3 linked regions of the Caenorhabditis elegans genome follow. The protein of the gene in region 1 interacts with the protein of each later gene in a pairwise test. Each region holds a gene or a part of one and is shown in the gene's direction. Other genes may lie near its edges.

Evidence for each region. The genes of interacting proteins can lie anywhere in the genome.
Region 2: the proteins of mab-3 (region 1) and dmd-8 interact in a two-hybrid assay, tested with the Caenorhabditis elegans proteins (one large-scale study listed by BioGRID).
Region 3: the proteins of mab-3 (region 1) and hda-11 interact in a two-hybrid assay, tested with the Caenorhabditis elegans proteins (one large-scale study listed by BioGRID).

Annotation. Positions count from the first base shown.
Region 1 is NC_003280.10:9,730,521-9,738,270, forward strand, and holds mab-3 (Protein male abnormal 3), read left to right. Parts: upstream 1-1,710; 5' UTR 1,711-1,782; intron 1,783-2,891; 5' UTR 2,892-2,901; coding exon 2,902-3,044; intron 3,045-4,490; exon of another isoform or gene 4,491-4,491; coding exon 4,492-4,570; intron 4,571-5,248; coding exon 5,249-5,395; intron 5,396-5,764; coding exon 5,765-5,936; intron 5,937-6,441; coding exon 6,442-6,773; 3' UTR 6,774-7,515; downstream 7,516-7,750. UniProt on the Caenorhabditis elegans protein: Transcription factor which binds the DNA motif 5'-[CGA][TCA][TA]ACAATGT[AT][TGA]C-3', probably as a monomer.
Region 2 is NC_003283.11:334,097-338,092, reverse strand, and holds dmd-8 (DM domain-containing protein), read left to right. Parts: upstream 1-1,642; 5' UTR 1,643-1,654; coding exon 1,655-1,790; intron 1,791-1,946; coding exon 1,947-2,119; intron 2,120-2,168; coding exon 2,169-2,687; intron 2,688-2,958; coding exon 2,959-3,240; 3' UTR 3,241-3,492; downstream 3,493-3,996.
Region 3 is NC_003283.11:10,524,521-10,528,948, forward strand, and holds hda-11 (Histone deacetylase 11), read left to right. Parts: upstream 1-1,663; 5' UTR 1,664-1,789; coding exon 1,790-1,800; intron 1,801-1,868; coding exon 1,869-2,093; intron 2,094-2,290; coding exon 2,291-2,401; intron 2,402-2,447; coding exon 2,448-2,539; intron 2,540-2,605; coding exon 2,606-2,718; intron 2,719-3,274; coding exon 3,275-3,429; intron 3,430-3,477; coding exon 3,478-3,616; intron 3,617-3,717; coding exon 3,718-3,876; 3' UTR 3,877-3,924; downstream 3,925-4,428. Other genes in the region: xpo-7 (Exportin-7), read right to left, coding at 1-224, 275-1,102, 1,152-1,289, 1,336-1,350; F25D1.3 (Interleukin-17), read left to right, coding at 4,244-4,375.

The DNA of each region.
Region 1 (7,750 bases):
TAGGCTCCACTTACGCAACAAATCGTTCTCTTATTTCGCTTCGATCGACCACCAGTATTTAAAAGATGGGTGGTCTAGATCTCACAGAAACCTGCACTATTTCAACAAGATAAACACGACGGAATGTTCGTTCACTCTCACACTTCAGCCGTTTTTTTCCTACGAGCGAAACAATCAGCGGGGCGGGTAGTGAGCGAGTTGAGACTGTCTAGACTCGATGTGGTGATCTCTTTGGAGTACAGAGAATGTTCAGAGTAAATACAGTCCATTCGGCAACATTTGAAAACAAGAATTTAGTCAAAATTTATCAGCAATTCCTTTAGAAAGTTGGTTCTCAAACCTAAAATTTTTTAACGACATTTATAAAGTGGAACTGGAAATATCTTTGGTTCGGGAAAATTTGAGAAATTTAAATTACTGAAACTTTAAAAGTCATATTGAAAATTGTTATCCATTGCAGGTCAATAATTTTTGACTGAAACTTCAAATCTTGGTAATTGAAAAACGGTTTGACTAAATAGTGAGTCACTAGAACTTTGACAGTTGGTAAGACAGTTTTCAACAAAACTATTACTTTTCAAAGTTTTTGGTAGCTTCTCTCGAAAACATTCCTAATATATTTTCAGGTCCAAATCAACCTTTACCAAAAATGTTTCCTCTGTAATTTTCTTGTCAATCCCACTTTGTTTCTACCGCTTCTTCTCCTTTCCATTTCGAGGACACAGTCGAGATCAAATGTGTGCGTTGAAACTGCCAATTTTCATTCTCTCTCTGCTAACTGAACACAAGACCTGAAGGTGCTCATTAGGCGAAATTGAGAAATATTGGATTACTGTAGGCTTAGATATGTAATCAATCTGAAACTGGTGACGCGGGTGTTCAGAAAAAAAATTGTGGTTGGGTTGGGGGGTTAAGATTCAAATGAAGAAATGAAAAAAGCTAGTAAAAGCTGAAAGAAAGTACTTAGCTTATGAATATTAATTAGGTCACATGGGAGCAGTTATGAATTTCCAGTCCTAATTTTTTCTACAGCCCGGTGCCGGGATCTTGGCCCTATGGACTGAAAAAAAGCTCAAGAATTGTATTTTTCCTCGAAAAAAAAATATAATTAAGCTTTCTATATAGGCTCCAAGGTTCCAACTTGTGGATCCATAATTCTAGACATAGTTTCAATTTCCTTTAAAGCAAGGTAGGTCACATTCCAGGAATGTTTAATAGTTTTCTAAAATACAGAAAAGTCTAGAAAAGCCTACCCAACGAATGATAATAAAAGTTCGAACAAAACCTATAAAAATTGAGTTACAGGAAATAAAATAAAAAACTAAAAGTTTGCAATTTTCTCTCGTCTCTTCTCTTTCCATGATCACACGTACTTACAGGTGTCCCCAAAAAACGCAGAGATCACACGATTCGCGGAGTGTCAGCCAGAGAAAAAATATGTCGTCGCGAGAACTGATAGCGGTGTCCCCCTCCACCGCCATAGTCTCGGGGCGCCGCTCCCTCCCGATATATGTTTGTCTGGCGTCTCTTACCAGGTTTTCTCACGTTCGGCGTTCTCTAATTATCGTCGTGTGAGGTCTTCTATCCAATCGCGGGTGGCATCAGTCGCCAAAAAAGAGGCGGCGCTTCGTCGCCGCGACTCTTTCTTGCTGGGACCCGCCCCGTTTCACAGGAGGGGAGTGCCTATTACTCCCTCTTTTCCTTTTCTTTTCGATATTTGAATGCTATCGGTGCTCTAGGAGCTCGATCTTGACCCCTTGTTGGAGGAAATTGTACTTTTGGGTAGGTGCTTCCAGTCGATTCAGAATAATTTTTTGGGGTTTTTGAAAACAGTAAAATTATGTGAAAATGTTTCCATCTTTGCGTCTACAATTTGTGGCTGACTTTCCTAACAGTCTACTCTTTGAAATTTTTGAGAAAATGGCTTAACAAAAACTTGAACATTTGATCTGATGTACATTGTAGAAATACTGTAGCTCCTGACTTGTCTGTTTGTCTTGGTTTTAGTCTCTACAAAAAATTATTTCTTGATAAAAACCTCTAATTGATTAAAAATTGAACCTTTTGTAACACGATCAAATGTTGCCAGTTGCAATTAATCGATTTTTGTGATTTTATAAAGTTTGCAGTTAGGTTTGAAAAACTTCAAACGTATTTTATTTAGAAATTTATTTGCTCTTTTTTTCCTTCAAGTCAAATAAGCAATACGGTTCTGTAAATTAATAAAACTTTGTTGCCATTAAATATTGAAATTCCATGTATATCCGTTCTGAAAAATTCTTTATAAGAAAAAATTTCAAACTGGTTTTTAACATTTTTAACTATTGCAGGTTTAAAAACATACAGTAGCCCAACTTTATTCCACATTTAAAGTCACAGAATGAGCCCAACGTTGAATTGAACATTTAGATTATAAAAACGTATTTTATATATGTTTGAGCTATCTGTAATTTTTGAAGAAAAAAAAACTGGTTTCAAAGCTCTCTAAATTTTCTGTTTTAAATTCTCAAAATTCTTAACATTATAGGAAAAGAAAATTTTTTTACTTTACTTTGAAAATTTTTTTAATCCGAAAGATATACACTGGAAACTAGAAAAGATACAGTATTACAAAAAAAATTCGCATTACCAGCTGCTCCTTTAAAAAATTGAAAATTTGTTCCGATGCAAAGAACAATATTTTTGGCGAAAAAATGTTCTTTCTCACAAAAATCAGTCTTGAAAATTTGACTTTTCCACGACATTTTCAAAATTTCGTAATTATTTTATAAGTCAAGATTAGAGTATAGCAGTTTCATATAATGCTTATAGATCCCTCTTTTTAATTCCCTAATTAAAAATAAAAATTTCAACAAAAACAACTAAATTCATAATCTGAAAAAATTTTGCAGAGGAGCTCTAATGCTCACCGAGGATCCCGTATCGGAGATTTGTGAGGCGAAAGCAGTCGATGAGCTCGCCGAGCAAGAAAAAAATTATTATTGTCAGAGATGTTTAAATCATGGGGAGTTGAAGCCAAGGAAAGGTCACAAGCCGGATTGTAGGTGAGCAATGGTTTTTTTTGCATTTTTAAACTACATTTCATCTGAAAACTATTTTGTCATTCCATGTTTCTCCCTCATTCACCCTTAATTATATACATCACGTTTTAATGCTTAAACTCTTGAATTTTTTGATAATTTTGGGTCTTGCAACGATAAAAAGTTAACAACTGTTTAATGAACTTTTTGTAACTTTTGTTGTGCCGAAAAAGTATGTAGTTTATCCATAAATACTCCAAATTCCAAATTTTATCTCAAAATTGTCGCGTCACCGACCTTATTCACCCACCATCAGTTTTTTTTTTCGCGAAGCCCTCCGACAAAGACACCCGTAAAATTTGAGATGTTCGTCTACCGATTACGATCGGGCAAGAAAAGACGCAAAGCAAGAAAAAACAGCTGACCTTGTCGATTTAAAGCGAAAAATACCACCCATACAGGTGAAATTGTTATTATATGAGTGAGGGGGGTCAAAAACGAATTATTATATGGACGCGAAAAACGGAGGAGAAGAATGGGAAAATGCAAAGAGGCAAAAAGTTATGTTTTATACATTAACCTAAACCATTTTGAAGGTGGTCTAGGGATACTGTAGATGTTTCACCAAGGTGAAAGATGACTCAAAAAGATCTTGCAATGACGACAATTATCACTAAGCTAAATTGAAGATGGATTAGCGAAATCTGGGAAACATTTTAAAATGACTACAAGAGTTTTTTGAATACCTATGTGAAATTTTTTTAATTCCCTGATTTCGCTACTACACATTTAATAATATGTATATCAAGGTGTGTTACTCTTTTTAGGTTTTTTTAAACGCTCGTTTAAAGAATTTGTACTTCTCTGGTTTAAATATCCAAAACTCGCCCGAAACGACCGAATTTCATTATTAGGCTTTACAAAAATAATATCTATCCGGTTAAAAATTAAAAAAAAAACTAGTGAAATTCTGCCAGCTTCTTCTTCGGTCGATCATTTTTTCCAATGTTTAGATAAATTCAAAAAAGCGCTTCTTTTTTTTCGAGATATGTTTGGGAAGTTACATCATGAATTTTGGTTGTTTGGGATCAGTTTGAGACAATTCAAGCAACTAAAAATTTTTCAGCCTTTTTTATTATTTTTTTTGGAACCGAAAATTATTAAAAAATTATGTTTGCTTTTCATTCAAAAATCTTCATTCATTTTTTGACATCCAATCACACAGATACACTCACTTTTCAAACAAACCATTCCACAATGACCTATACAGTCGTAAAATTCCTCACCCAATTTTTTTTTTCTCCCAATTTTTTCAGTTCATATAATTTTTAACAAAAGATAGGGCCTATCTCTATTGTGAAAAGTCTAATAAAATATTTGAATGGGTGGGCGGGTTACTGTACAACTACAAAATTCTCCCGTCGATGACACCAAGTGGCACTGAAAAATAAACAAGACGAACATTTTACAGATATCTAAAATGTCCATGTCGAGAATGCACGATGGTCGAGCAGCGAAGACAGTTGAACAATTTGCTAAGCAAAAAGAAGGTGAGTATTCTATAGGGATTCTATGGTAGGTGTGGCTGTAGGTGGCTGTGCCTTACCTCATTCCTGTCTGCCTACATTTCTGTTTCGCGGTGTAGGCGGTCTTGAAGGTTGTATGTGCGTTCTCACGCACTTAAATACCACATCTTATCAGTTCACCAAAAAATCGCAACTTCAGATCAAATCTGACATTTTCAAAATGAAAAGTGGGTTGACGTCTTGGCTTTTTTCTCTTTTTGTAAGAAAAACAATTGAAGATACGAATAGATAGAGTGTGAAAAGCAAAGAAAAAGTGAGAAAAAGATTGATTTTATCGGATTTTTTTAAGGGTAGGTATATTTTTCATGAAGTTGTTCTTTTTCAAAAGGGGCTCTTGTTGTGGCAAGTCACATATAGGTCATTGCCTGGCCATCTATAGGCGTACCTACCTTATTGTTTTATTTCAGTTATTTGTTGAAAGTGTATTTTTAAATGAGAAAAATGCTCACTTTGGACCATGGGTATGCGTGTAGGTATGAGGCAATTGTAGGCTGCATTGACTGCAAGCATTCTTGAGCCTACTGAAAGTTTATACCGAATTTCTTGGTTATTGTTTTTGTGATTGCATTAACTCCTATAATATTACTGTGAAAATAAAACACTTTTTAGCGGGACCCCTTATAAACCTTTCCAAATTTCCAGATCCACTGCACACCGGCAACTCAAACCCGTGATGGGAAGCGTGTCCGTGACCCACACTGTGCTCGGTGCTCGGCTCACGGAGTCCTAGTCCCATTGCGGGGACACAAGCGGACAATGTGCCAATTTGTGACATGCGAGTGTACATTGGTAAGTGTAATTATACTGTCATCATCGGCAGTCAGGCGCCCTTGACAACATTGCAGTTTTTATGCTTTTCAATGTCACCTGCGCGAAGAAATTATAGGATTATAAAAGTACTGTAGGGAAATGGGGGAGTGGCTTGCCAATGAGATTTGAGAATGTGACTTTTTGAAACATTTTGATAAGTTTCAACTATTTCGAAGTATTTTTAATGCAACAGTGCTACGAATTGACTTTTTAAAAATTGTTGTGGAGCAGGCAACTTGGAGCATGCTCTTGGACTGACAGAGAAAGTTGCCACATTAATTTGTGTGAGATTTTTGAAAACGCGTAAACAGAACTACGATTTTCGAGTTTAAAAATATTATTTTTCAGTGTACTCTTGTGGAACACCGTCGAAATCTTATGGCGGCTCAAATCAAATTACGCAGATCACAACAGAAATCCCGAGATGGTAAAGAACCAAAAAGGAACTCTCGTAGAAAATCGAAAGATATGGATATGGAGATGATGGTTGTCACAGCTACAGATGGTCAAAAGATAATTGGTAAGCTATGGGATTTTGTAGAAGTGTGTAAATTGAGCTTTAAGTCAGAATCACAAAAATTGGAGTCTAAACCTGAAATCCAGTCGGAAGTAATTCTAGAGTTGACGGTACGTATTAACGTTATCAGAAACATAGATTTTACCATCAACTCATAGATTATATAAAATGGCTACTTGTTATTTCCAATTTTTCGTACCGAAACAATCAAATACGGGAATATCCAAACGCATCAATAAACAATTACGAAAGTTAAGAGGTTAATTTCAAATATGTCTAGAATCTCAAATTGGTACAACTTCTCAGTTATAGAATATGTCTTTCTGCTTACCTATCAGGCGGGCCCTGCCCTGAAAGTTACTTTGCCTTAAAGATAATTACCACTTAAGCCAATGTATTTTCAAAATTCAGGGGAAGACAAAAAAGTGGTAATTTTGATGCAAATATCAACGCAGACAGTTAAAATTTATATTGTAGCTTCAAAGAAATTAAATCTATAATATTCCAGGAACATCAGCAAGTCCATCTCCATCCTCAACCACTGATACAATGTCCCCATCCCTTTCAATGTCTCCACCATGCTCTCCATCTCCACTTCTGGCTCAATACACTCTGACGCTGGCTGCTCCGATTCCAATCTATCCGCCGATCCCAATGAATCAACAATTGATAAGCTTGCAACAACAACAGTTCCTGATGAGCATTATTCAAAATATGGCTCCATCAATCGGACAACAGGCTCCACTCCTTCCAGGCATTTCTGCAGGTTCTGTCTCATCGGCAGCAATTTTGAATGAGTTCTGGAGTATGTATCTGAAAAATTATGGTCTGCAAGCCTAAGATCTATAATTTTGACCAATTATTGATTTTTAGAAAAATTGTATGTTTCCCTTCTTTGCTTAATTTTCCACACAATCTCTTTTTATCTTTGGTTTCAAACTCAATGATTTTTTCATATTTTCTTGAATTTTCACTTTTTACCAATTTTGTTATATTTTCTAATTTTTTCATTCATTTTTCACCAAGTGAACCAACCAATTTACCGATTTTTTTCTCGTCTTCAAGACCGCTTGTGTTATTCCAAAAATCCCCATTTTTTTTAAATTCAAATAATCTTTTCGTCTCTCACCAAACCACATACTATCTTTCTATGTCTCTTCGCCACCTAATCATGTCATCAATTTCTTCGAAAATTCCCAAATTTCACCGATATTCTTCCGTTTGCATCGATTTCCCACTGTCCCCGCCCAAATTGAGCTGAGCTCCGCCCACACTTTCCCAGGATTACTGTATTGTTTCTCGCTCTGCGTCTCTCATTCTCGTTCCCTCTCTCTTTGTTTTATCTCGGAAAATAGGATCAAATCCTAAACAGTTAACCGGTCCGTTTTAGACACCCCCGGTGGTAATAATTTTGAAAAAAAGTGAAATCATGTTTTTTAATGTTTTGGTTTTAAAAAACCAAACATTTTTTGGAGAGAAAAATGTATAGAACTTCCAAACATACAAACACACGACGCATCGAGTCTAATAATTATTGATTTATTTTTATTATTTTTGATTTTTCAATAAACTTTTCATTTTTAAATCGTCTTGGTTCTGTATGCAAACTTGATCGTACAGCAATTTCCAGAAAAAAAGTTGGCGGCCGAGCTTTCTCTTCCGCGGCCATGTAGAAACCCATAGACAAGGTCTTAGCACGAATGAAACTTTTCCGTTACCGTACCATAGGGTATTTCCCAATTTCTCCTGTTTCAGAAAACATATTTTTTTTAAATTTAAACTTTCGTTGCTTCTGAGTTTTTAAAAAGTTTTATTTT
Region 2 (3,996 bases), on another chromosome or scaffold:
TTCCCCGGTGGGAGCAAGAATTCTTCAAAGATTACGGTAGAGCGTCTAGACGGTGGCAAAAAAACAAAACTTGTCGATCAGAAATGAGCATTTCCCAAATGAGCATAAACTAGTATAAAACAACTAGTTCCTACATGTTTTAGTATAGTTTTTTTAAACATTTTTTTTACTGGAAAAAATGTTTTTTTTGTGCAGCCGACAGTGATCGAGGACGGTACAGAATTTTTTTTTAACCTTGCGTGTAAAATTTGGTGCATTGGAGTCGGTGAACGAGGCTTTCGGGCTTGCTTGCCAGGCTCCTTTTCAAATTTAGATCGAATTTCATTGTTTAGAAAAAACATTTTAAAAAATTATTCCATTATTTAGAAAAAGAAAAAAAATCATTCAAAACAAAAAAAGCATGATAAAGGCAATCACAGAAATGGATTTAAATCGCCTAATAATTCAAACACAAGGGCTAAGCAATGCGAGAAAAAGATTAGCAATCGTCAAAATCCGCTACAGATTTTCTTATATTTTCCACACAAAATTTGAAACCACTCTGAGCGATTGATTTTCGACACAATTTGTCATCCGATTTGTTGAAACTTCTGAAAATCTTTTTAGTTTTAGTGTTTTTTTGTGGTTGTTATGAAACATTTTGCAATGATTTTCAGCTTGCTCAACTTTGAATTTTCCAAGGTTTCGTAGGCGTAGACCATAGGCGTAGGCCATTAGCCATAAGTGTAGGTCATAGGCGTAGGCAGTAGGCGTGGGTCATAGGCGTAGGCAGTAGGCGTAGGCCATAGGCGTTGGCCATAGGTGGAGGTCATAGGCATATGTCATAGGCGTCGGCCAGCAAGTTTTTCAAGTTTTAAAAAATTCGAGTGTTTTCAAAACGAGATGAGCACCACCTTTTTGTGAACAAAATGAAATAAATCGGCTTTTAGTCCAACTGCTCAGTTGCTCCATACTGATCCGCGTAAAACCCCGACCGGATTGCCCCTCCTTATCTACGCAAACTGCGAATCTACGTAATTTCCCCCATCGACATGAGAATTCCGTCATAGCTCCGCAGAGCCAAAATAGAATGTTTACGGCGAATTTTCTCGAATGAGTGGGGAGGGATGGCGGAGACGTTAGACATGGTTAGACAGCAATCAGGGATATTCAAGAAAGAGGCGGAGCCGGCAGATACAGAAAATCTTTCATTCCTGGATTGAAGATGGGAAAGGCGGATGAAATTTTATTTATTTATTTCGATTCCATTTCATTTGTGAATTCATTTCGATAGCTTTTTTGCTCCAAGGGGAGCTAGGTTACTGTAGATAAGGGAAATTTTTGGTGGCCGAAGAAAACTAGAAAAACTTCGGTCACGCGCCCAAGCCTCTACAACTTCCTGTTTTGCTTATGCTTTCCCTGAAAATTTCTCTGAAAGCATCGTCTATATAGCCCCCAGGGCCTTATCAGGCGACTAGTAAAACATGTCACAAGATTTTTTTTCAGACAAGTGACTGAAAGTACTGTAAATATTCCATTGACGCAGTGTCTATAAAATTTCAGCCAATCAGGTCATCAAGCTCAAGCATCCCTTATCTTGTAGCCCTCACAATTTCATTTTGTGCTTCAACTTTTCCAACTCTTGAAAAATGGAAAATTTCAGACTTACCTGATCATGTCCTCATCTTCCCTGTCATCTTCTTCAAATGCCTCATCGCTCAGTGCTCCAGAAGGGCTTTCACCAAACAACAGCCTCTCCCCGGATGTTGGAGCACAGAGATTTTTCAGCCAAGGGAAAAGGATCCCGAAAGGTGAGCTATAGCTTCTTAGCAGCCGACAGTTAATTGGTTTCACGAGAAAGGGTCAGTAGAAAAATGTATGGTTGGTTAACTGTCGGCTGCTGATTTTTTTTCAGAAATTAGTATGGCCTACGCCTAACATAGTTTTATTTTTTGTTAAATTTTCAGATGTGAAACGGCACTGTGGAATGTGCAAGCAGCATGGAGTTTTCGTAGAGACGCGCGGGCACACCTGCGAATATAGAAGTTGCGAGTGTGAGCAGTGTGACTTGGTCCGTAAGCGACGGGAGATCATGTCAACTCAGATTCGTCTCCGACGAGAGCAAGACAAGAAGTTCCAGGTACCTTGTGATTTTTTTCCTAATTTTCCTAACTATCCCCGTGTTTCAGCGTACCAATGATATCAGCGAGGCCAACGTGTTCCCAGGCTTCACAGGTGGGGAGGCAGATGAAAAAGCTGTCATGGAGAACATGAACATGTGCTATTTCTGCCAAAAATGCAAGAATCACAATGTGCTCGTCTGGAAGAAAAATCACAAAAAGGAGTGCCAATATTCCAGCTGCGAATGCCAACAGTGTAACTTGATTGATTCCCGTCGTGCCCTGGACCGGCATATTAAGAAGCGAAAAATGAGCATAAAGGGCAACACGGTTGAAGCTATCGCACCGAAAAGTCCCAAAAAAGAGGGCTCCACCACGGCTTCATCATCGTCACTCTCATCTTCTTCGGGCTGCAATTCGGACGAGTCGGCTTCATCCTCGGATTGCTCGCTATCTGGAATGCTATCAGAGAAGTTGAACATGGCTCCGCAGGTTCAGATGAAATTCGACTTCAGTGCCGGGGGATTTATGATTCCTGCAGCGACTTCGGCAAATGCAAGCACTAGTCCGGCTGGTTCTCCATTTGAGGTGAGGTTCAGATTTTCTGAAAATTTTTTCAGGTACAGCTTGAACCTGAAAAGGCATGTGGGCATGTAGGCATGTAGGCATGTAGGCATGTATGTATGTAAACCTGTAGGCATGTAGGCATGTAGGCATGTAGGCATGTAGGCATGTAGGCATGTAGGCATGTAGGCATGTAGGTATGTAGGCATGTAGGCATGCACTAGTCTCGTCCTAAAAACTGCTCTAAAAGGTTTTTTCCAGAATTTCTAAAATTTCTAAATTAAATTTTTTTCAGACAACATCTCCAATGCCGCTTCTCCTTCCGCATTCACCAATTGCTCTTCCACAACTTGCTCCATCAAGCCTACCGCTTTCATTTCTTACCGTACCCTCTCTCATGTCCACCGCGGCCTCACCATTTTTCACGGCTCCGCTTATGTACGGAGCTGCTCCAACTCTTTTCCCGAATCCTCTCCTGATGACCCCTATCGGAATGCAAATGTTGTTCCAGAACTTTCAAAATTTTCAGAATATCCGTGAGCTTAGCGCTGCAATTAGCTGCGCTGAAACCGATTGATTTTTCTTTTTAATTTTTCAAAAAAAAAAACAATTTCCAATCTGTGATTTATTGTCTTTTCCCTGTAAAACTCTAGTTCCTTCCCAGTTGCACCTCAAAAAGAGTAAAAACCCCATCGAAATTTTAAGCTGTGCGGGTTTTCAGTTCAAACATGATGATAATAATATTTTGATGTTTTTGTGTTTTATATTTCCAAAAACTTTTTTTTGATTCTGCAAAAGTGATAAATTAATAAAATTGTACTCTTATCAATTTATGACTCGACTAGAAATTGAATTATAAAGTCACGGTTTTTACAGAGAATTTTCCGAATTTTCAGCCACCATATCTGGAATTAAGCTTGGATTTAGAAATTTCACGGCCTTTTTTGCATAAAACGTCAGGAAGCAATCCCATATATTAAAAAAAAACTAAATGTTAAAATTCAAATATATATTTTGTAGAATTTTTTGTAATTTTTTTTCAAATTTTGCTATTCCAAAAATAAGCTTTCCGGCTAAATTGAGCAGTTTCACTTTTTTTGATTTTTTATTTGAGACGTGATCTGTCAAATTTGCATGCATTTTACAGCAAAAAAATTAATGTTAAGTTCAGGCCAGTTTTAGAGTTTCACCCAATTCCTTTCGGCCTGTCAAGTTTCCTTTAATGACAATGGTTGAAAATTTGAAAAAAATGGCCGAAAAATTCATTTACCAGTGAAATCTCACAATCAGATTTTTTTCAATTTTTGAAAAATTTAAAATAAATCTTTAAAAA
Region 3 (4,428 bases), on another chromosome or scaffold:
TCATCATTATTTCGAACATATGGAACAGACGTCACCATTCTCTGCCAGAATGTCATAAGAAAATATGTACTGTTGGCTGAGAACTCCATCATTCGTAGGCTTTGTACAGTGAATTCCGCGAGTAACCTTAGCATGTGACTGTAGCAGGGAACAGCGATGAGCTCGCACAGCTGATAATTTGTTTTCAGACGAGCAATCAAACGGCAAAACTCGTGGAATGCGGCCTAAATCAGGTATATAAATATGTTTGCCTTTAATTTTTCATTATTCTTACCTGGTCACTAAGCTTCCCAGGGTTCATAATTACACTGACAACTCCTTCAACAAGTTTTTGAACGTAAGCCTGTCGCTCTGTTCCATTGAAAAGCGTTCTTCGAATACTTGCCAATTGAGCTATTATTGTCATCACTTTTTCACTTGATTCTTGTGGAAGCACATTTAAAAGTTTGAACATAAGCTGTACAATTTTTCCATCAGTAAAACTTGCTCTCCATGCTGTTGGGATTTGCACATTACAGTTGTCTTCACTTGTTTCGTCTGTCAAACTTCCTATATAATCAAAAAGTAGACATTGGAGATTCAAGTTGAGAACCGCGTGAAGAAGACCCAATTGGCGATCGTTCAGATTTCTGTCCACATTATCGTTCAAAACATTCAGAGATACCGAGAAAATCTCATATAAAAAATCGTCCCTGAACTGCGAAAGATTCTTGCGATGTTTGTTAACTGAATCCATTCCCGAAGCTGAATTCATGTCAGCAACGAGTAAGGTTAACAGTTGCACGGCCAGCATACTTTCCTCGATATTATCCATGTTGATTGTTTTGACAAGGCTATCAACCGGATCACGAAATGGATATTCAATTTTTGTGTCTTCTGTTTGATTTTCTGTGGGATTTTGATACGTCCATTCTTGTTTCGTGAGTCTTGCAAAAAGTTGGCAAAGTGATGTGACGAGATATGGAGGAAATTGAGGTGCACCTTGACCTAGCATTTCCAATAAATATTTTGCAAGCTCGAGCTTCTGAACAGAAGTGATGCTAGTTTTTCCGCCGAGAAGTTTCATTAGTGTGGTGCTTGCTACCATTGGTCCGTATGGGTACTGAAAATCATTATGTAAATTGTTTAACACTTTTATTATTTCGACTTACATCTCCTCGTGCAAAGAGAAGCATGCATCTTTGAAGGCATTCGGGTGACTCTGACAGTTCCGCAAGGTTACTCTCGGCTCGGTGTCGGGCTTGCGGATCGACACTCTCATATAGATCTTTGCATAGACTGTTTAGTACCTAAAATAAGATTAGAATGCACATTAAGAATTTTGAAAATGCTAACCGGTAATTCATCCATTTTTGAAGACTTCGAATCCGCTGTTCAGCGATTCACTCCTAAAATATCCAATTCAGAAGTAATTATAGCTTGAGAAAGAGGAGAAAAATGTTTTGAAAAGCAAAAAGAATGTTTAAAACGGATAAAATTAATTCGGCGTCTTCCCACCGTTAATTGTTTCGAAAAACTGCAAACTTTGGTGATGATTTGAGTTTCTGAAAGACGAAACATCTTGTCCTGGTGAAGTACACGGCGGATGGCCGATAAAAAAGTTAGGCCATCCTTTCTCATCCTACTCTACATCCCACAGGCTCTCTCGCCACAATTGGCATCTTTTGGCAGTTTCCACTATTTTCAGAATTCGTTATCTGTTTTCTGATAACAAAAACAAGAAAAACAGAATCTTTACGACTACTTCTTTATTTATCCGCTCTAACCACTCATTCTACGCAGATTTTGAATGGCAGAGCGGTGAGTTTTGAAATTTAATCTGTAGTACAACATGCAGTTGGAAATGCCAAAAATATCAATAATTTCAGAGATAAAGATGAAATCTTTAGTTTAAAAAGTTATCAACGTCCAATTGTCTATCATTCTGAATATAATGTAACTGCATTTGGAATCGAACATTTACATCCATTTGATTCTTCGAAATGGAGAAGAGTCATTACACATTTGAAAGAAATGAATCTGATCACTGATGAAACACTCGTTGAGCCAAATCTACCGACATTTGAAGAACTCACTAGAGTACATGATAGAAAGTAGGCACATGAAAGTGTTGTGAATGTGATTGAATCGTGGAATTGGTTTATGAAAAAATCATGTTTGTATGGCCCCATACTTAAATTGAAAGAAAATAATTAAGCTCATAACGTTTATAGTTGACATTCTAAAAAAAAGTTAGATGAGGCGTTCAACAATTTCAACTAATAAAAAAAATTTATTCATATTATTTTAGATATCTGAAAAGTGTTCGAAATCCTATTAAAGCAGCACAAATCGTCGAGATTCCATTTGTCGGTTGCCTTCCACCGTGCATTATTGAAAGCAAGTTATTGCATCCACTACGGTATCATTCCTAGTAATTGTTGTATTCATTTATTTGTGTTTTCCAGTTTACAAGCCGGTGGAACAGTTTTAGCTGCCAATTTGGCTCTAAAACATGGTTGGGCGATCAACGTGGGTGGTGGTTTCCATCATGCTTCTCGTATGTTTTTGTTATTCCGCAAGAAAAATAGACGCTATGGGATTGTACAGCAGCCTATAATTTCAGATTCGGGCGGAGGTGGATTCTGTTTTTACGCTGATATCACCATGGCAATTTTCGATTTGTTTGACAAAAAGGCAATTGCCAACGCGATTGTTGTAGATTTAGATGCTCATCAGGTACTGGAAAAAACATTTGAAAGAATATAAAATACCGTATATTTTCTATTGATGCGTGCGGCACCTTCACTGCTCAACTTTGACAGCATATAACTCAAAGGAACACGTGTAGTCAGAAAATCCCATTCCGCTTTGATCTTCGAAAAATGCGGGAGTTGAGACGCAGACATCTCATTTGATTTGGAATGGTTAAGAACGTGCTGACGTCACAATTTTTCTGGGAAAAAGTCCCGCATGTTTTGTAGATCAAACCGCAATGAGACAGTCTGACATCACATGAAGGAAGTATTTTGCCTAAAATCATAGATGGCCGATATCTGAGCTTTCAAAGTTAGAATTGTCCTCAAATTTTAGCTACCTTACAGTTACGTTAAGAATTCTATAGACTACGGTATCATTTTGGAAAACCATTTGGAACGTGAATGAAATATGTCTAGCCCGTAAAGATATTTCTCAAATATTAGATATTAATTCGAAATATTAATCACAATATTAATTGTTTAAAAAAATTATTAAAATTTAAGAATCCAATTTTTTGCTTGAATCATACTTTAAGGGAAATGGCCATGCACGAGACTTTGCTGACAATCCGAATGTGTTTGTATTTGATGTTTTCAATCCATATGTCTATCCACATGATCGTGAAGCTCGTCAATTTATTAACAGAGCGGTTCATGTAAATGGTCATACGACTGATACTTCCTACCTCTCGTAAGTATTCATAGCGGCTTTCTGCTTTCACTGACCGACTTTATTTAGCGAATTACGCAAACAACTGGCACAGTGTTTAATTGATAGAGAGAAAACTACTCCTCCTGGTTTCGATTTCATTATGTTCAACGCTGGCACAGACTGTCTACTTGGTGATCCTCTGGGAGCAATGAAATTGAGTCCACAGGTGTGTGAAAGCAAGGAATATTGTTATACGAGTTTGGTATTTGGTGTATAGTCTATTTTGAAATAAGATGTTGCATATTTTTTTGAAAATCAAATTTTCAGTGCATAATTGCTCGAGACGAAGTTGTGTTCAATCTAGCAAAATCAAAAGGAATTCCAATTTGCATGGTAACCAGTGGAGGGTATCAGAAGGACAACGCGCTTCTCATTGCAAAATCAATTGAAAATCTCCAGTCAAAGAATCTCATCAGTATCAAATAAAAAAGTTATATCAGCATATCTTTTCCTTATAAATTATTTTTTATTAAACTATTTTTTATTGTTTAATGGCAGGGGAAACTAAATAGATAGAAGGATCAAGTTCAAAATTTCATTTTAAAATCGAATGGATGATTTTGAAACATTCTATATCAACCCGATTCCATTAAAAATAAAACAATCCAAAATAATACAAAGTACTCTGAATATGAACTTTTCCTAAAACTTTCAATTTTTATGAATCCTCGACTCCTCCCAAATTTTCACTTTATGTGGATGTCACTAGGTCATCATCGGGTAAAGGGTCACACAGAGAGACACAGTCATTTCTCGCCTATATCTTTTATTTGATTCTTCTGTCGATTGCGACATGATTTGCTTCCGTACAGCTTTCATTTTAATTCTTGGAGTAGTGATAGGCACGACAGCAAAACGACACAATGTTCGAAGGCATGTCAATGGTAAATGGACTGATAAACATTGTGAAGAACCACCTAGTTTGGTTAGTTTTTGTTTTTTTAATTGAGAGTAAATAGTTTCACTAGCATGTTCTGG